3 linked regions of the Drosophila melanogaster genome follow. The protein of the gene in region 3 interacts with the protein of the main gene of each other region in a pairwise test. Each region holds a gene or a part of one and is shown on either strand. Other genes may lie near its edges. The genes, in order: Arp6, Xrcc2 and CG13917.

The links.
Region 1: the proteins of CG13917 (region 3) and Arp6 interact in a two-hybrid assay, tested with the Drosophila melanogaster proteins (one large-scale study listed by BioGRID).
Region 2: the proteins of CG13917 (region 3) and Xrcc2 interact in a two-hybrid assay, tested with the Drosophila melanogaster proteins (one large-scale study listed by BioGRID).

The regions. Positions count from the first base shown.
Region 1 is NC_004354.4:15,733,608-15,740,473, forward strand, and holds Arp6 (Actin-related protein 6), read right to left. Parts: upstream 3,514-6,866; 5' UTR 3,427-3,513; coding exon 2,230-3,426; 3' UTR 2,167-2,229; downstream 1-2,166. Other genes in the region: CG12379 (uncharacterized protein), read right to left, coding at 104-316; MagR (magnetic receptor), read left to right, coding at 762-845, 946-999, 1,492-1,567, 1,637-1,714, 1,782-1,885; CG11679 (uncharacterized protein), read right to left, coding at 3,957-5,219; CG8206 (uncharacterized protein), read left to right, coding at 5,796-6,371.
Region 2 is NC_004354.4:18,495,468-18,501,758, reverse strand, and holds Xrcc2 (X-ray repair cross complementing 2), read right to left. Parts: upstream 1,633-6,291; 5' UTR 1,578-1,632; coding exon 825-1,577; 3' UTR 501-824; downstream 1-500. Other genes in the region: Pgant7 (polypeptide N-Acetylgalactosaminyltransferase 7), read left to right, coding at 2,323-2,527, 3,338-3,814, 4,257-5,350.
Region 3 is NT_037436.4:1,573,978-1,581,798, reverse strand, and holds the start of CG13917 (uncharacterized protein), read right to left. Parts: upstream 5,101-7,821; 5' UTR 4,668-5,100; intron 1-4,667. Other genes in the region: Tmep (transmembrane endosomal protein), read right to left, coding at 6,528-6,811.

The sequences.
Region 1 (6,866 bases), on a different chromosome or scaffold from region 3:
ATATTGCATTCCATTTATAATATTTTAAATTACAAATGTAAATAACATTATTTAATATCAATTGGGTAGTTTATTTGTATTTACAACTGATTTCCAAACATACCACTGGCTTACTGCAGTGTATACTGCGGCAAATGCACGTGTAGTTGTTGCTGCTGCTAAAAACAGCTGTTTGTGTTTTGGTTGCAAAGTGATGCACTTGCAACTGCAATTGTGGACTATTTAAAGCATCAATTTGTGTTCTTCGGGAACTGGTAAGTAGTGCGCCTCTTCTCACACCTGCGCTGATTTTATAAAATTTTTTTAGGGCGGACATATCCTCGATTTTGTTGATATTATTTAACTCAATCGAAAAGTGTGAAATTCATTTAAACTTAGAGATGGCACCTCCTTTCATTTCAAAACTAGTCGCGAGTCACGATTTTAAAAAGTTACTATAGCTGTCACTGGTGCTGATAAAATTTGCTGTAACTCACAGACATTAAAACCAATTGTTAATATAAATTCTACTGTGAAATATTAAGTTAAGTTATTAATGAAGTCCACCTGGACTCTGGGGCTTAAAAATAACTTATTTTTCAAACAGGTAGTAACCGTTTCTCCGCTATCCCGTGACACTGCCAATCGATGACATCTGTTAATGCCATCTCACGTGATACTATCGACAGTACTATCGACCATCTGGTAGTAAGCACTCATATTTTCGAATTTTTTTTGTGGAAATTCTCGAGTCAAACAAATTATATAAAGGGCACGAACCGATGGCGACACGTGTGGTGGCAACGGCGACAGTGCGGGCGGTGAAAGGCCGGAAGTTAATCCCGACGCGGGCCGCTCTGACTCTGGTAAGGAAACCAAAACCTGGTGAAATCGGCGCATGCTGCTGCTGATGAAGTAACAGTCCCCTTCGATCTGATGATTCTGATCTCCCCCAATCCTTTTCAGACACCCGCGGCGGTGCTACGCATCAAGACGCTTCTGCAGGACAAGCCGGACATGGTGAGTGACTGCTGACAAGTTGTCATCGAACCAAGGCTACACTTTAGTGGGCATTCTATCGCCTTCCACGATTGAGATCTTGATAATCTCGCCTAGCTCTTTAAAGGTTCCCGTGCATGTTATTTAAGTTTTAGCACTGGTTGCATGGAGTATAGGAAGTTCGCAAGAGGGCTTCTTCAAGCATTATATTTGACAATAGGCTTTTTCCTCAGTCAGTCATATATTTTAGCGCAAATTATTAGCTATAAATATAAGCCATGCTAACTAATTCGGCCTGCGTTAATCAGCTAGATTTTCCAAATTTTGACCCGACCAAATTTTGATGAGCATGTTTATCTTGTTGTTAATCATTTAGTTTTTAAGTGATTAAATTCTTTGAATTGAGACAGACTTATTAGAATACCGAGTTCTTTGTCTTTGGTCAATAAACAAGGCTGCCTATAAATTAGCCACACAGTTAATGACAGAAATTCGATGTTGTTTCTGCCACAGGTTGGCCTAAAGGTGGGCGTACGGCAGCGAGGATGCAATGGTCTGTCCTACACGCTGGACTATGCCAGCCAAAAAGGTAAGCCACTCTGGACAGAATGTTGTTCGGTGGAGATCTAATGCTGCGTTCTGTGTCGATTTTTGCCAGCAGACAAGTTGGATGAGGAGGTGGTCCAGGATGGCGTCAAGGTCTTCATCGACAAGAAAGCGCAGTTGTCGCTGCTGGGTAAGTTCATACCAGCTTAGCATAGCATTGGACAAGCCAGCTAATACAGAGTATAATTCGCTTGCAGGTACCGAGATGGACTTTGTGGAATCGAAGCTGTCCAGCGAGTTCGTGTTTAACAATCCGAACATTAAGGGCACATGCGGCTGCGGCGAATCGTTCAGCATGTAAACCGATGGAGATCCGGAGGAGATCCGCCGGCACCCGCCTCGCAGACAGACCTAAATTAACTAAGTTAAATGCAGTACGCGGCCCGACCTTGTATCTCATTACGTTGTTGGCAAAAGCACCGCATCCTTTGTAAATTTTACTTCGCAAACGAATTCTAAATATTAAGTTGTGTTCTATAGTTAAATTTTAGTTGTAGCGCTAGGTAAGTGACGCACCCGCTTCCTTGCCGCAGGCTGGCAGTTTGTCCTCTTTAGCCCTAGTTCAATATATAGACAAGGAATGTTCTAGAAAACCCATGTGCAAATCAAGTTTATTATTGAAAAAATACTTCGACTACGTGCATGTTACCGCTGATTGATACCCTGGAAACCGTACTCCTCGTAGTCGTCTTGCGTGTAAACAAACTCTTCAAAGTTGGGGCTGGTCGCAACCTCCTTGCCGCCGTACCACGCGTACCGCACCGGATCCTCGGGACAGATGAGTGACACTTCAAGATCGTCGGGCACCAGGGCACGTAAATCGCGCTTTAGGCGCGGCAGAAATCCCGGAAACTGGGCACTGCCGCCCACAATAAGGATGTTGAGCAGGAGTTCGCGGTGCGCTTCCCAGGGGCAAGCCTTCAGACAATCGGCCACCGCTTCCGGAATGCCCACCTGTTGCACACCAATGTCCGAGGGATTGAAGAGCAGCTCGGGCACGGTGAAACGTTCATTGCACAGCGACACCATTTGCTGTTGCTCCTCATCCTCGCGCGGCTTTCCGGGAACACGAACATAGCCCCGTTTGACGGTGGTGAAGTCTGGAAGGACATAATCAACTGTGACTTCGCGTCGCTTCTCCTCCGAATAATGCACCTGCATCGCCTGCTTGAAGTCCTCCGCCACAAAGCAGACATCTTCCTTGATCTGGTTAACTACATGACTCTCGTCCATGACGTTTAGGTGGCGATAAGAGATTAGCTCCTTTAGCTGGTTGGTCAGCGCCTTCCCGCCCATGTCGATGCGTCGTATGCCTTGGAGAACGCGCCGTCCCAGCACAAAAGGAACAACGTGGGTGAAACTGTAGCCTACATCGATGATGATGCAGTTAAGCGATTCCATTGTAGTCCGCTCCTCGCTGTCAGCCACATAGTTAAAGGCAGCCAGATCGGCAGCAGTGGTCTTGTACACCCCATCAACCTTGTACTCCTCAAACAGAATCTCCAGCGTTGCCTCCTGGATGCTCTGGAAGTTCATCTGCGGCTCAGTGATGACAATATTGCGGTTCTCCAGCGAACAACCAATGCCGTCCTTGCTGAATATGTAATCCCACACCGTTTTCTGTGTGTGCCAGTTGAGCAGGTAGCCGCGCTGGAACGCCAGAATGTAATAGAGCGCCGATGTGTCCCGGCATTCATCTATCTGATTTCCCACAAAAGCGCGTCGCCGCTCGCTCTTTGCTTTCATGATGCAGTTGGGCACCACATGGGGCTCATCCTGATTGGCCAGGCCCACTTTCGCCGTATGCGCTCCGTTGTCCAACACCACCACAGCGTTGGCCATCCTTTTCGTCCTCAACGTAGATCTATACCATTTTTCGGAAGAGGACAACAAACAACACTTCTTCTGTTCTAGTGCTGTCGATTAATTTGTTCAATCTATCGAGATTTTTAAAATCGTTATTTTTGGTGTTTTAACGGTCTACATCAAATTAAATAAGGAAAACAAAAACAAAATGAAAACACAAGAAACAACTTTTTGGAATGCTAATAATTCTATATTTCAGCAAAATACAAATACACATACAATAAAATTATAATATTCTCGATGTAGATCTATAGCATTTTTCGACAGAGGAAAAGAAATGACACTTCGTCTGCTTTAGTGCTGTCGATTAATCTAGCCATTTTTTTAAATTGGATCTAGTGAGAATTTTAAAATCGTAATGTTTGGTGTTTTTAACGGGCAACAACAAATTAAAAAGGACAAAAAAAAAATAGAGCACAGATCAAACAAACTTTTGGAACGCTAACAATTCTATATTTCGTCAAAATACAAATATAGTACAAAAAACTATCGACCAAGCCTACTTGCTAATTGGGAATCGAGGCGGCAGGAGCAGCCAGTGGCAGGACCTCTAGCTTATGCGAATCACTGTGATCGCTGACGAAGTGCAGCACTTCGAAGCCCACCTCTACCATGATCAGGATTATGATCATCCACTCGAGCCGGATATGATGGGCATCGTTCAGATTGTGGGACACCAGCTCGGCCAGTTCCACGCAGTGGTTGATCTTCTCGTTCATCACCTTGGTGCGCCGTGAGATGCTGAAGTAGGAGCACACCTGCAGGTAGAGTGCCTCCAGTTCCTCGCGGTCCCAGTAGAAATCGGGTGCATCCAGCAGATCCGACGACAGGTTGATCACATGACGCAGGGCAAATAATTCACCGGTTTTTCGCAGCATGGCCGCCCGCGAGATTCTTAATCGGCGACCACGCTTTAGATCCTCGGTGAGATGCTCTATGGAGTCTATGTAGCGGTCCAGTGTCGCCTCCCACATGCCCAGCTTTATTGACTGTGCCATCGCATTGGAGAAGGTGTACTTATACAGGAAACTATCCGTATCGGCGGTAACAAAGAACTTGCCATTCTGGAAGAATGCCCGTGACGTGACATTGAAGTCGCTGCTCTCCGCCACCAGATCGCCCTCCACATCCACCGCCGTCGATGGAATGTAGGTGTAGGGCATCACCTCGCTCTCCCCGTGAACCAGGGCACTCACATACGATTCCCTTTCGAAGGCGCGCAGGAAACTTAGCACATTGTTCGTCTCGATGTCGCTGCAGTTCCAAAAGACCACCGAGCCCTCGCGGAAGAAGAATATCTCCCGCGGCTGCTGACCCGTCGGATATTTGGCCGCCACAAAGAGCACATTCTGCTCCACGTCCAGATTGTCTGTGGAGAAGAAACGCTTCGTCTCGTACAGGTTCTGTTCGCGGAGGGCTATCTGCAGATCCTCCAGATTGTACTCCTCGGCGGTCGTATAACCACGGGTGTTGAGAAACCCCAAAGCGGACAGTTCATCGATGGCCAAGCGCTTCTTTCGAATGATCCTGGTGCGAATGGGCGATAGTATCGACTCCAAGCGCTCCTCGGCTAGCGGCAATGGCTTTACCCGCGGTTGCGTTTGAGTTCTAGGTACAGAAGCTGCTTGAGCTGGCGCCGCAGCCGATGAGGTGGCTTCACTGGCCAACCATCGGCGGCGGTCCATCATCCACTGCGTCTGCGTCTGCTGGCGCGGAATTCGAAGTCCTCCAAGGACCATCTGCCCGAATCTCAGGCGTGCAAAGTTCATGGCTTTTGATTTATGCTCCAGCAGCAATTAGTGGCCCATTTCTGGGAGTTGAGATCGGTTTGGTAACGAATCGTATCTGGTGGCTATATAATATAGTAGCCGGCCTCCGATTGCCTTTTGTTGTGATTATCGAATCCGATAGGCACTCAGTGGTGAACTCGGTTCTTCGGCCGTTAGTTATTTCTAAGCTATGAATTTTCATTATTGCTTGGTATTTATACTACAAATTTGGTAGTTGAAATTCTGTTATTTGCTTTTTGAAATGCTGTAACGAGTCTTCAACTCATACTACATAAACTTCTGCCAATAGAGACAAATTACTGAACCTGGATACAAAATAGCCAAAATGTGAGAACTGAATTTAAGCGGCCAACCGCCTGCACTGCTCCGATAACGATAGCCATCAGCTGTTTTCATCGCTCCACTTAACCATTTTCTTCCCCATTTGGGGCAAAACAAAACGCAGTAACTACCCCACATTCAGCACGTGCGGCGCCAGAATTCAGGACGCACTGCAGCGGGCGGCAAGAGCAGAAAGCAACGCGGATGTGCAACACCGCTTAGTAGCAACATAAAATGAACGCATTGCGCAACATCTTCACATCGCGAACTCTCAACTATTTGCGCCAGAATGGACAAAACGCGATCCTCAACGCCACCCAGCAGCAACAAGCGGTGGACGCCGTGCCGCTAACCAACGATGCCGAGCAGCACCTAAAATCGTCGCGTCCAGCACCGCTTTCCATACCGCGCTCCATACTCGATGCGTGCCATTTCACGGCCAAGCAGTTTGACCTGGGAGGCTCCACGTCCGGAAACCAGGCGAATGGCTCTCTGTCGCCGACGACACTGAAGCGCTTCCGACGCATGCAACGCCGCATGGAGCTGGTGTACCGCTGCAAGCTGTGCAACACCCGCAACACGAAGACCATCAGCGAAGAGGCCTACTACAGCGGCGTGGTGATCCTACAGTGCGACGGCTGTGCCGTCGACCATCTGATCAAGGACAATCTGGGACTGTTCACCGGCAGCGATGGCGATAGCAGCATTAGCTCTGGAATCAGTACCAGCAAGAATATCGACCAGGTGCTGGCCGACCGGCATGCCCGCGTCCGGGTGATCAAGGTGAACGAGCGCGGCGAGCTGATTTAGGAACTCTAGTCAAAGGGGCATCAGTAGAGGTGAGAACCTGGTGCCGTCAACCTGCGAATCGTGTCTGAGGAGGACACACTCGACACGGGGTGGCACATTGAACCCAAGCAACCAAGCACCCAAGTACCCAACTGCAAACCGGAATCCCACATTCTGTTTCCGAGCTCAGACGGCTGTATATAATAATTGTACTGTAATTGTTGATTGTTTCGGGCCGTGAGTAATGCCTAAAAAAGTGATTAAAGGAACGACCAGTTCAAAAGCAAAAAACAAACATTGTATATGGCTAAATCTGTTATTCCGCTGTAGACTATCTAATCAGGGTGCACAGAAAGAAAAATGTCTCATTGTTGATATAAATGTTAAAATACATATGTATATGTACAATCATCAAGTTTTGGCTACAAGCCATCAATTTTTGTCAATATACGCCGTGCCTATCTTATATTGACCAGGTTTTTTTTTCTGTGTACGCACACGCATATATACTAGACG
Region 2 (6,291 bases), on a different chromosome or scaffold from region 3:
TATTGAAATTACATTTAAATTAATGATTGTATTTAATAATAATTTTTACTAATTTACCGGCTTTTAAGCACTACCAAAATCAATCGGCGGATAACATTAAAAAGCCCCCCCCCCCCCCCTCCTCTCCATTTTAATTGCCATTACCATACACCATCATATTGCTTCTTCTTAAAATGCTAAGAAAACGATAAAAAAGGAAAACGAAAACGAAAAAAAAAACTGCTAAACAAAACCACCTTACTTATGTATAGCTTTTAGAAATCATTAGTTTTAAGTATAATTCTGGTAGGGTTGGCCTTCTTCAAAAACAAAAAAAGAACATAGTGAAGGTTTCAACACAATTTTAAAGAACTGTTGTATTTTTTTTAATTAAGATAATATTACTGATATATAATATTAAATATATTACTGAATGGAATAAGTCATAAAAGCGAACTTTCCTTCTAGATCTATATGGACTATAATTTTCTTTGTTCGAGCGGGTAAAACTAGGAAGATATCACGGAAATTAAAGTATATTTGAGTTCGTAACTATCTAGATAATGTAGAAGTTATACCTTTTTTTTAACTTAATTAGTTGCACAGATTACTTTCTCACTCATAGGCCTTGAAATTGTCTAATAAAGGAGTAATAACAAATATAATTTCTAATCCCTAAAAGGAAGATATTATTAAAGTTAAATTGTTAAACTATATACAATTTTCTTAACCTATCAACTCTATATACAATTTAATCAACTCTATATACTCTATATACAATCGTTTACTTCTTTCAGTTCCTAGCATCATTTTGTCCTAAGATTAATAATAATAATTTAACTATGTTAACTGGGCTGAGTCAGCAATGCCTCAGTAATTTCCTTGCTAGTATTTGTATCCAAATGAATTCCATTGCTAAACGACAGCGGCAGTCCATTCAAGAGGATCTGGTTTTGAATCTTCTGCATCCTGACATGGTACTTTATGCCAGCCTCGGGCAAGTTTTCGCCAAAACGATTCTCCAGAAAGGCAGACTCCACCGTGTACATGCCGCAGACGATGGCATCCTTGCAGAGCTTCTCCAGGCGCGCCTGGAGCAATCGATAGTGGCGATACATGGACATTCTCTTGGCAATCTTAGGCTCATCTAGCCAGTAGAATTCGCTGAGTGTGTCCATGGCAACCAATTGTATGCCAGGATCATTGATGATCGCGTAGCGGGCGTCGATTAGCGACGTGGAAACATCATCGTTTGCAAAACAGTTGAGGAATCGCACGCGACTCATGCACTCGCCCGCAATCTCGGCCAGCTGCTCCTCCGTGGGGCATTTCGCAGCAATCACTTCGCCGACAGAGTACGCCTTCAGCTCCATCCTAATGCTCTTGGCCAGAGATTCACGGTTGATCTTGTGACTCAGATTGATCAGCAGGACGCTCCACTGGCGACCACCGAATTTGTAGGGCACCAGGCAGTGGGCCACCAACTGTTGGAGCACCAGGCTTTTGCCACTGTTCCCTGGGCCGGAGATCTCCACCAGCGTATCGGCTTCAAAGCCGCAGGAGCCAAAAACGGCAAAGTGGAGTTGATGTGAGCCCATTAGGTTAAATTTACAAATTTGCGCCCTGGCATAAACAAAGGAGTTATCGATTGTGGCCTTTATCGATGACAGCCACCTAAAGTTGAATTGCGCAGCGCTGAAACATATTTAACACTAAATGGAACTAGGGCATATCGAATAGTTAAACAACAGCAGCAAGCGTTTCGTTATAACTTTCAGTTAGCATTTAGACTTATTTGCGCACATACATAAAAAAAATCCATTTTCACCACCCTGTGTTATCGCCCAGCCGCCTATCGCTGCTGGTGCCTAATTTAGCCCTAACGCCTGGGCGATGATAGAAAAAACGGCATAACGCGTTCTTACCAGTTGAACATCGTTTTCTACCATTTTTTGTTTACGTTTGCACCGCGAATATTCGTGCACCTGCACTCGCAATTTGCTCAAAGCCAGCGGCGCTTTTTCGCCGGCAAGTTGCTCCGCACCGAGTTAAAGCATCACTCAGGCGGACGAGCTGGTGTACTCCAGTTAGCTTCTCGCCCCAGCACTTGTAATTGTCATTATCGGCGGGGCGCCTTTGATCATTCAGCGGCATCTCGAATCCGAACCAAAAGTGGTTCTTTTGTTCTCTTTCTGCTTTGTGGCCACCTTTCCGCGCTCCCCGCTTACCGCTTCCCGTCTCCCGCGCCGTGCTTTTTCTTTCTGGCCACCTAGACACGTCAACAGATTTGGAACTTTGTAACTGGAATCTGGAACTGGGCATCGGAATCGGAATTAGGGAGAGATGCGCGTGAGCACCATCCGCAGCGGTCGGATCTGCCGGCTGGCATTGTGCCTGCTGGTACTGCTGCCGCTGCTGTATCTGCTGGCCAACTGGAGCGATCACCACAAGCGCGTCCAGGAGGCGTATCACACGCGCTTCGGCGGACCCAAGTTCGCCCACCAGCGATTGGAGGGCAGGCCCAGGGAGGTGCCCAAGCTGGTCGATGGTAAGTGGCTACAGGATCGAGGATAGCAATATCAGCCCTTGACCAGGATAAAGAATAGGATTGTGTCACCCATAACGTGAGCCTTGCCATTAAGATTCCTCACTCACGTATTATACAATTTTATTATGGAGGACTATCATCAGAACTAAGGATACAGAGTAGTTACCATATCATTGTTGAAAAGACCGAGTTGTTTGCTTACTGCAAACCCAGCTAAAGAATTCAGTAATCTTTGCTTTATATCACTTAAAACCGGCTTTTGCTCGTTTTAACCAATTAATTACTTGCCATGTATGCTACATAGTATTCAAAGAAGTCTTTATTACCACGTTTAGCGTGAGTAAAGTATGGTTGGAGGTTAAAGGATAACCTTTTCCAACCCATATCGTACAGTCTATTCCCAGTCTAACTTACGAGCCCATTTCAAATATTTATCGCATTCTATTATACATTCTCCAAAACCGGCTTTGTAATGGCCCTAACCAACCAACTATCAAATTCGGATAGAGTGAGAAAATAACCTCATAAAAGTCATTTTTACTGCACAGCCACCAAAACTAGTGTGTCTTTAGTCTTTTGTATCAAATGCTAATTCTAGTCGTAGAATATTCCATATGACCATAAGATGGTTAGATGATGGCATATTATTGGTCTGTAATACCCCGCCTTTATGCATAAGTCTGAAATTATAACCCACACCTCCTGCAAGCGCATACAGTGAGTGGCTGGGCCAATATTTAAACAATTGCTGTAAGCTTGCATAGGTAATTTGCACGCGCCACACTCACAATTTGTTTTTGCGTTTTTCAGGCCTTGGCAACTTTGAGCCGAAAGATGTGAAGCCACGTAGCGGGCCTGGCGAGAATGGCGAGGCCCACAGCCTGTCGCCGGACAAGAAGCACATGTCGGACGCCTCCGAGATGGAGTACGGCATGAACATCGCCTGCTCCGATGAGATATCGATGCACCGATCGGTGCGGGACACGCGGCTCGAAGAGTGCCGCCACTGGGACTACCCCTTCGATCTGCCGCGCACGAGCGTCATCATTGTCTTCCACAACGAGGGCTTCTCGGTGCTGATGCGCACCGTGCACTCGGTCATCGATCGTTCGCCCACGCACATGCTGCACGAGATCATCCTGGTGGATGACTTCTCCGACAAGGAGAACCTGCGCAGCCAGCTGGACGAGTATGTGCTGCAGTTCAAGGGGCTGGTCAAGGTCATCAGGAACAAGGAGCGCGAAGGTCTCATCCGAACGAGATCCAGGGGAGCCATGGAGGCTACAGGTGCGTATAGCCCATATCTCATTTATGTATATTGTTATGTGTTCTTGCATAACTTGCATAACTCATGACGGCTTATCGCATAGTTAAAAGAACGTGTTGTATGGAAAACAATAGTTTTATCTTGAGATGTTTGCATCAAACGCTGAAACGCCAGCTATTTGGAATTTGAATTGAAGATAACTTCACGTTCCGCTTTGTGGCAATGATAAACCTTTAAACTGCAGACTCATTGAATTTCTTTTACATTTTCTCAGCATAATAGAATTGCCTATCATTGCAATTGAAGCAAGATTATCGTCGATTTCAAACAAGCCTTTTAGCATAAACAGTATGCATAGAAATTTACAAATTACTATTTTAAAGCATCATCCTTTAAATCATCATATTAACCCACAACCTTATAAATATCCACACAAACACTAAACTGCTTTGCATCCCGCAGGTGAGGTGATCGTCTTCTTGGACGCCCATTGCGAGGTAAACACCAACTGGCTGCCGCCCTTGCTGGCGCCCATCTACCGGGATCGCACTGTGATGACAGTGCCCATTATCGATGGCATTGACCACAAGAACTTTGAGTACCGGCCGGTTTATGGCACGGACAACCACTTCCGCGGCATCTTCGAATGGGGCATGCTGTACAAGGAGAACGAGGTGCCACGTCGCGAGCAGCGCCGCCGTGCTCACAACTCGGAACCCTATCGCAGTCCCACGCACGCCGGCGGCCTGTTCGCCATCAATAGGGAGTACTTCCTGGAGCTGGGCGCCTACGATCCGGGTCTGCTGGTCTGGGGCGGCGAGAACTTCGAATTGAGCTTCAAGATCTGGCAGTGTGGCGGCAGCATCGAGTGGGTGCCATGCTCTCGCGTGGGTCACGTCTATCGCGGCTTTATGCCCTACAATTTCGGCAAACTGGCTAGCAAGAAGAAGGGTCCATTGATCACGATCAACTACAAGCGCGTCATCGAGACGTGGTTCGACGACACGCACAAGGAGTACTTCTATACGCGCGAGCCGCTTGCCCGCTACCTGGACATGGGCGACATTAGCGAGCAACTGGCGCTGAAGAAGCGACTGAACTGCAAGAGCTTCCAGTGGTTCATGGACCACATCGCCTACGATGTGTACGACAAGTTCCCGGGTCTGCCGGCCAACCTGCACTGGGGCGAGCTGCGCTCGGTGGCCTCCGACGGATGCCTGGACTCGATGGGCCACCAGCCGCCGGCCATCATGGGCCTCACATACTGCCATGGAGGCGGAAATAATCAACTGGTTCGGCTCAATGCCGCTGGCCAGTTGGGCGTCGGCGAGCGCTGCGTGGAGGCCGATCGGCAGGGCATCAAACTGGCCGTGTGTCGTCTGGGGACAGTCGACGGTCCTTGGCAGTACAACGAGCACACGAAGCACCTGATGCATCGCGTCCACAAGAAATGCATGGCCCTGCATCCGGCCACGCAGCAATTGTCATTGGGTCACTGCGATGTTAACGATAGCTACCAGCAGTGGTGGTTCAAGGAGATACGCCCACGCTGGTAAGTCCAGCATGTTTGGGAGGAGCAGCAGGAGGAGGAGGATCAAGGAATGGATCACAAGGGTTTCAGCCGGGGCAACGGGGGCGATATTTTAGACAAAAGCAATTTAGTGAAAATGAGAAATGGAATTGTTGTTGGTTTTGTAACGCATATAAGTATTGATATACACACGAAAAACACAAGATATCACACACATCTGCATTTATGACGCGAACTGTATGTACATATGCACTGTCGGCACTTGGAAATCGCCTGGGCAACCGGGATTCAGACAAGGGCATTCAATGCTCGGCGAATAAATAAATCCACAAGGATATTATTAAATTATTAAAGCTTAAGAATTTCGATTTTGTAAAACAATGTCGTAAGGAATCGCGAACAATTGTATTTCCATGTAAGCATTAGAACAATTGCTTTTAGACCATATTTGTAGTGCATGAAGTGAATGCAATTTTCAAAATCGTGTGTGTGTGTTAGTAGTAGTCGTACTTGAAAACTGTTTTCCACTTTTGTCACGAAAGATCAAACTCCACAAAATGCACTTAGTGCAGAGCGTACGAAAATCATCACAATTAGCTGATAGTGAACCCATTCCCATTTCGATCGGCGAATCTCATACAATAGATATTCAATTGATATTTGGGAGGATCCAAGCCTGGGGGATTTCCGTGCCGACCTCGTGTGTGTGTGTCCTTGCGTATGAGTGAGAGAATGCGATGGGTATAGAGCGGAAGCGAATAAGAGCGAGATAGCGCGATGGCGGGATGGCGAGTCGAGTGCAATAGAGGATTTATGAAACGGGAACGGGACGCGATGACAGGGCCGCAGATTGTTTTGCTTTATGATTGCCAACTGAAAAAATGAATGTACTAACCTTAGTCTATACTCCTGCAAGTCCAACTAATCCTAGCTTAGTTTCAACGCTGCCACATTCCAATCTAATCC
Region 3 (7,821 bases):
TTTATTTTCATATTTATTATTTGTGATGTATTCGCCCTTCTCATCGCTGCCGGAAAAGCCACCCGGGAAAAAGGGCAAAGCAAAAGAAAAGCCGCATGATTCACATGCAAAGTGACACAGAAAACGCGACGCTCGACACGTTTGCTCTAATCCCAATTTCGGGCCAATGCCAAATAGCCCCTCCTGCGATCTGTACACCTAGAACTTGGCCATAAACAATCTATCTTGATTTGTGCCACACTTTTGGGAGGGGCATAAAGGGAATGAGGGGGGGATAAACTCACGCAGCGCCAAAAGGTAAATGACCAAAAGCCATCGAATCGACGCGAGTTGGGAGTCATTTGTGTCGTGCCGCCAAAATGGATTAATCGAGGGAGGTTTTTGTTGATGATCAAAACACATCGTTTGGAGGACACATTGCCATGTGGAATTGATTGGTTGCTTGATTTATGCAACATCTGTGCGTGTTTCGTGGGAAGTGCCCTTACAAGCTATTAACTAGGCTAGTTAGCTAGTTAGTTAGTATTAGCTGTGATTTATGTAGCATTTAATCATTTGTCTTGATATATAAATTTAGGTAACTACAATATCTTAAATTTAAACTGCAATTGCAGTGAATGTTGCATGGAATGACAACTCCTACCACACCCCCTCCCCCCAAAAATGCGGATTATTTCGTAATGCTCGAAAACAATCGATAACTGCTACGTCAGCTCATTCGGGTATTTGAGTACTTCAGTTGCGCTGCGAAGCGCATCCGAAGGGTGCTAGAAACCCCATTGTTTTTGGCCTCAAGTGGAATTTCGGTTTCTCTTTGGCTTTGAATGACCCCACCTTACATATCTAATTTGCATAATTTTGCACGCGAAAATCACTCTCAATTTGTATTTGTTTAATCATTTTTTTTTCGGCATGCAAATTGAAAATTGATTTTCGCGTTGCGCAAAATCGTATGTGCCACCGAAGGTTATTTGCGTGGAATTGCATTTTTCCCGTTCGAATGTCGAATTGGCACATAAATCATAATCATACGTTATGGCCATAAACATGCGTTTATTGAATTTGGTCACATCGAGACTCCCATTTTGATTGGCTTCAATTGGCCGTAAGTTTCGAGTCTCGGGAGAATGATTGATTTATGAACTGATTGATGTATGGAGCTGCTGCTGCTGTTGTTGCATAATTTACACACCAATTGCAGCCTCCAATTGCGTTCAATTTGTGGAGGACGCAGAGAATATTCCCATGCCCCTCCAACTTGACCTGCCACCCACGCCCTTATTAACGCCCCGAAAATCGGCGAATGGTGCCAAAAAAAAATATGGCATCCAAAAACAGAACTACGCCCACCTCGAATGCCTGGGGCCAAACGTAAACAAAGCGTGCCCCAAAAATAGCTCGCCACAAGGAGCGATTAGCATCTGGGCAGTCGAACGTGATGAGCCTCCTCCATCGCAGCCATCCCCCGCATTTCGATGGAAACTAATTACCCCCCAATCTCCCCTTTGGGTTCGGAGCTGGCGTGACACTTTTGCCAAGCGACTGGGAACTGGGATCAACGCATTCTCGCCGAGAAGCCGGCTAATTGCTCACACCCGCCAGGCGCACTTGGCATGGCGAATGGGCAGTGGAGCCACACCCGGCTGAAACTAATCTGTTGACAATTAAGGCGTCGTTTGGCAGTGCATAACTCAAATTAATTTGCAACATGTGTGCCATTCAGCTAATTAAGTTTGCCCATCCAATGAATTGCAAAGTAATGAGCAAAGAATTAACTTGTTGTATCTATCTATCTATGTATTTATAAAGTATTTGGTTGCAAAGGCATAATATCGTTTAATTTCGAACAAAAAATGTGAAGCGGAAAGTGTCTCGAATGCATTTTACTACTCAGCTTTTATTTTTTGTAGTGTACCGCCGAATTCGAAACAGCCATAAATTCAATAATTAAATCGGCTGCAGGTCGGCCATTAAAAGTTCAATGGAAAAGTACGCCACACACAATAACAGACTGAAGACACTGCTGATAAGGCAGAAACTAATGGGGAATGTGGGTGAACTAGGGAATGGCTTTCGGGGATCGGGGAATGGAATTGGTACATACATATGTATGGCATGTATGTATGTATGTATGTATGTATGTATGTAGGCCCATGCCTAGGAAGGCATATGTATCTCATTTGACTCACTTTCACACAAACAAACGAAAGGCAACAAACAAAGGCAAACAAGCAAACAACCGGCAAACAACAGTACAAATGTAGGTGAGGGCACAGCAAACACAGTAAACACTGCCTGCAAACGATATTTTGGTTGCCCAACAGCTTATCTCCGCTTATTTTGGGTTTTGTGCGTGGGTTTTCTTTTCACAGTGCTAGCGTATAAGTAATAAGTAAACAGAGTAGTCTGGCTGTTTATTGATATATTCGAGGAGTTTTATCTCAGACCTATGATAAAATCCGAAAAACTAGGCATGAACTACAAATCATCATTATACTATTGAAAACAAAATGAAATGTCTGGAATTACATGGCAATAAATCCAAACATCTGTGAGTGGGGAACTAACTAGTTGGACATGGCTGTGCCTTGCAAGCTCAAGTGATTATAAAGGGTGGTCGCACTTTCCCATATCTTTCCCACTGTCACACACACACACATATACGGACAGCTGTTGGGACTGCGACTGATTAACTAATTGAAAATATGTTTTGCATTGTTTTCCGCTTCTGGTCGCTCGTACGCTAATGGAAATGGAAATGAAAAACGGGAGACAAGTAAAAAGTCGGTAGCGTTCACTTACTCATTTACATGTGGCTGCGCCCCCTAACGGTAAAAACATTTGTAATTGCCATTTGTGCGGAGAGTCAAGTGTCAGCTGTTTGCTCACCTCCCCCTTCTACGTTCGTCTCTTTCGCACTCCCATTCTGGAGCCCGCAACATGGCGTCATGGCTGCGGCATCCCGCTCGCACACACACTGAGAAGAAAACCATGTGTGGTCGCAACAAATGCGACAATTAAAGTAAGTGAGGCTTGGCGAACTATTGTAAATTACAGTGTGGCTGAGGAGAATTAGAGGGAGAACGAATTCTGGGTCAGCGGTGGAAATGAGCTCATGTGCCTCATGTACAGTGGTCACTGGTCAAGAGGAATCTAATTTAAAACTTATGGTTAAGAAAAAGAATCTTTCTGTTAGTAAAAGAATGGATCCTAAAGTTTCCATTAATATTTGTATTTTATGATGTCAATGAATCATATGAATGATAATGCTGCTAACTTTAATTTACTTCTATTTACCTATTTACCTAAGTTTCAGTGAAAAGATAACACTGGCACTTTCATACTTATGATAAGTAAACATAAACAATCTCGCGTTACTGGCGCCCCGATATGAAGTGATATCCGTCGTAATACCGTAGGCATTTTTGGGGCACTAGACTGATTGAGCCTCATTGATTGATTGGCGGAAGGCGCTAAATTTACTGAATCCTAAAAATAGCAACTTTGGCAACCTACTTTCCCAGAAACAATTAGGAGTTTCCGCTTCACTCAGTTATACTGGTTTCCCAATTTCCCAGTTTCAATCGATAGGTGATTTACCATATGAGCAAACGTACATTGTATGTGAGAAGTGTAGTATTTGGTCGAGATAAGGATAAGAAGTGCAGTGGAACAGTGACGCAGAGGAAGCCCCGCAAGTCCATTGGCCACTTGACTTTTGGCCAAATCGAAATGCCCACGCTTTTGGTTCTTTTGACTCGGGGTCCAGAAACAGCGTGCGCTAAGCGTATAAATTTAAACGCGTACAGCTGTTGGCATTTGAATTTCGACTGAGTCACTTAATTTGCGGTTCGCAGAATTTCGTGTTGGTTTGATTGATTAACTATAGTTGCTGGCATTTTCTCTTTTTGTCCGTGCGATGATGCTCTCGCATATGCAAATTGGGTTAATAACTGATTTCCATGTTTGCATTCGGTCTTAGATGACTTTTATTTTCACAGCTCTTACGGCCAAGTGGGTTTCTTATTGATTTTTCTCGTTTGCATGGGGAAAATGCACTGGGGAGGAGGCGGGGGAAAAAGTGGGCGGAGGGACCGCCAAAATACGCGTTTTTTTCTTATAGCGGCTTATTTGTTGTTTGCGGCTCACACGGATAGTAAAAGCCTGTATGCATGTGTGGGTAGGCGAGAGAGAGGTAAGGATAAAAGAGAGGGCGGAGTGTGCGGGAGAGAGAGAGGTCCGATTCCTACCCCAATTCACGCCTGCTGGCTCCAAAACAGCCCACGCATACACATGCAGGACGAGAACACAGCTGCAGCGGCGCTGATTTATTGATTTTTCCTCGGGATGCCATGCCATCACCCGCTTCCACCAATTACATAAAATGTTACTATTAATTTTCGGAGGGCAATCAAACGAAATGGCGAATAAAATTAGCCACAAAGGAGGTTAAAAATAGACTTTTCTCGTCCGCCCTTGAAAAGATTTTTTTATCAACCGTTTCTTTTCTACCTGCCATTTGCACAACACACACACGCACACACACTCGCAGAGGCGGCCAAAAAGGAGGCGAAAAAGGAGAGAAGATAGCAAAACCCACACGAAAACAGCAAAACTCCGCGATTTACAAGATTGTGTGTGTATACATATACTTGGCTTGTACTTACGTTTTAGTTAGTTCGGTTAAAACAAGCTTAGTTCGCAGGAATCGCTGGGGAAAATCTCGTTTTCGTACTCCTCTTTTGATTAATTTATTGCTTTATTGCACGACACTTTCATTGGCATATTTCTTTTGATTTCTTGCGCGTTGCATTTAATTCAGGACTGAACAGGATTTTAGCTTGTTTTTTAACTACGCGCTTGTTGTTGTTGTTGCTGCTGCTGCTCGCTGGGCAAAAAGAAAACTGGTTTTTCCGCACAACTTCGTTTTTTCGCTTGCGTGTTTCTCTTGTTTTCTGAATAATAAGCCGATAATCGCGGCAATTGGCATTAGATTTAGAACGCGGCCGAATCGATTCTTTTCGCAGGTCCACTGTTAAATATTCTTTCGGTTTCTTTTAAAAAATTTAACGCCGCGACAAAAAACGCGAGCGATTCCTGCGGTTTAAAGGGGTTTTGCAGTGTGGCCGCAGCCGGAATGTACAAAGTTACTAGCGAGCGCGATAAAGGGACCGTTCAGCCTAGACACGTCAATACCAAGTGCTTACACCACCGCAGACTTAAACCCTTTCTTAAATGTACAATAAAAAAGGTGGCAACAAGAGATGGATCAATTTGAATGCTAAACATAACGGTTTTAATAATTAAATTTTAAAATGAATCAAAAATTTTACTTTAATGAATACAATAATTAACAAAAGAAGCCTTTTTGAACAACCAACGCATCTTATAAAAACTATAAACCTTAACTTACCAATAATTATTACCAATCATAAATAAAACATTGGATATATTATATACATAAATGGATTTAGAGTACTTTATGACATTTACTTTATTCTCATTTCATATTAATAACGAAAAAAATGTACATAAAAACGTTGCTGCCTTGGTTTTCCTTCACTTTGCCCCCGATAATTATACATAATTTGACGTTTCCTACGTTTCTTACGCTCTGCTTCCGGTTCCGGTCACCACGCTGGTCCAGAAACACACGTAATTTGATGGGAAGCCTGGCTAGATATCAAAATACTGTTCTCGACCGATTTCAGACCGATTTCAGCCAATGGTCTGGAGCACCTCGTTTTCTCTGTACAGGGTAAAATTCTTTTATACACTTCGGGCCCGGAAATAGTCCTATTACTTGGAAACTGGTTTCTGGACCTGGTCTCATTCATTCAACTAACGAATTCGCTATAGGTTAGCTATGTATTGTGTTAAGTATGCTTTAAAAATTAGCCTTGGCTTATAAATATATTTGTGTGTAGATTTTCCTCAGCTTTTCCGCCAGTTTATTGTAGAAGCAGCCTGTAGACGGTTCGTGAGACGCAAGAAGTGCATTTGCAGTTCGGTTTTCGCTAGTTTTGATTTCTGTTCAGTTTTTTTTTTTTTGGTTCGCTTTACAATTGAATTGTCAGACAAATGTACACAAGATAAATGGAATCAAAGCGAATCAAATTACATATGCGGTGTAAAATTACAAAATACCTTTGCGCAGATTAAGTCGTATTGGGGTGGTGGACCACTGTAGTCTATAGATAATGCTTCAAAATTCTCTATATAAATCATCAAATTGGTTAAAGCAGAAGTGCATCCATTAAAATAAAAAAATTGTACTGAACTTATCCATAGACTACACTTCTCTAGCCACACACACCCCACTTTACAGGGTATATCATTACGTTATCTTTAATCTTCCGCCCAATGGGTCGTGTGATGCTGCTCGGCTAGGCTACCTAAGATTATTGTACAAGCGACAGAATCAGCACACTGGATAGACCAAACGAAACGAATCGAATCGGATCCGAACGAAAGACTCGATTTTGTTAACAATAAGTGGGACCATCGATCCCGATCTCTCCATTCCTCTACTGGTACTCATCGTCGCTGCTCAGCAGCATGGTCTTCTCGTTGTAGTTCTGGCTGATGGTCGCCACCCGCTGGCCGCCGGGCTGGAACTTCCTCTGGTTGCCCAGCGTCTTTGAGGCCATGCAGTTGCTGCCGCCGTTGCCGCCAGATCCTGGTCCAGTGGCCACCGCATCGTATCCACCGCTGGTGGGCTGCGACGCCTGCATGCCTCCAGCTGCTGCTCCCGAGCTGGGATCGTCGGGATCGTAGCTGGAGACGCGAATGCCGCGGGAATTCTTGCCACCTGTGCGGGTTTCATTGGAGGGAATGGACTTAATCGTTACGGGTCACACAGATCGAGGGTCTAACTTATTAACAAGAAACATTAGATCATGCCATGCTTGTCACAACCATTCCTCGATTAAGTATGTTACTGAAGATTTTAGTTATTAGTTAATTCTACGATAAAAATCTTAATCGAGGCACGGATATATGATATATATAGTTGGAAAGAGGCCAATAAACATGCAACGAAGAAAACGAGGCGAGGCAAACAGTTGTCAAGCTTATCGTACATTTATTGCTAAGTATTTTAGATATTTTATACAATTGGTTTAAACATTTACAAACAGAAGTAAATAGAAGGACGACGAGAGCTTATCACAAAAGGGTGGTCAAAAGGGGAAATCAAAATAAAAGAAGGAAAAACTTCGTTTTTGGTATCTTTGAGCGAAACGGAAACACGTAAATAAATGCTGAGGGGAAACTAGCTTGAAGATCGCTTGAATGGGGAATCCTGTTCAGCGACTGCCATTGTTGCATACAGTATAATAAAATCTTTGTTTACAAATACATAATATTGTACAATATTATAGTTCGTTTCGTACATAGCTAACGTCTAAATAAGTTGTTTTAAAAAACGCTTAAGTTTAGGTGTAGAGTGTAAACGTAGGAAATACAGAAACACAGACGCAGAGGCAACTCTAAAAGCCCTGAACTCAATGGACTGGCTAAGTTAATTTCTGTTCAGCTTTCAGCGTTTTGTGGAGTGAGTAAGTAAGTAACTAGGCCTAGTACGTATCTTCCTCTCTGAGCTTGGTTTCGGGGGATACTGTGGGGCATTAAGCTAGGGCTAAGGCGCTAGGGCTATAAGTACACTTGTTTGCTTCGCTTTCGGATCGCGTCCCGCTCGGAAATGTGGAATTGTGATTGCAATTAGTGTTTAGTAGCGAGCATCGCTAGAGTTTTGCTTTTGATATTGATTTAGAGCTTTTCGTAACGCTGAGCCGAGGTTACTTCTGCAAAAGATAAGAA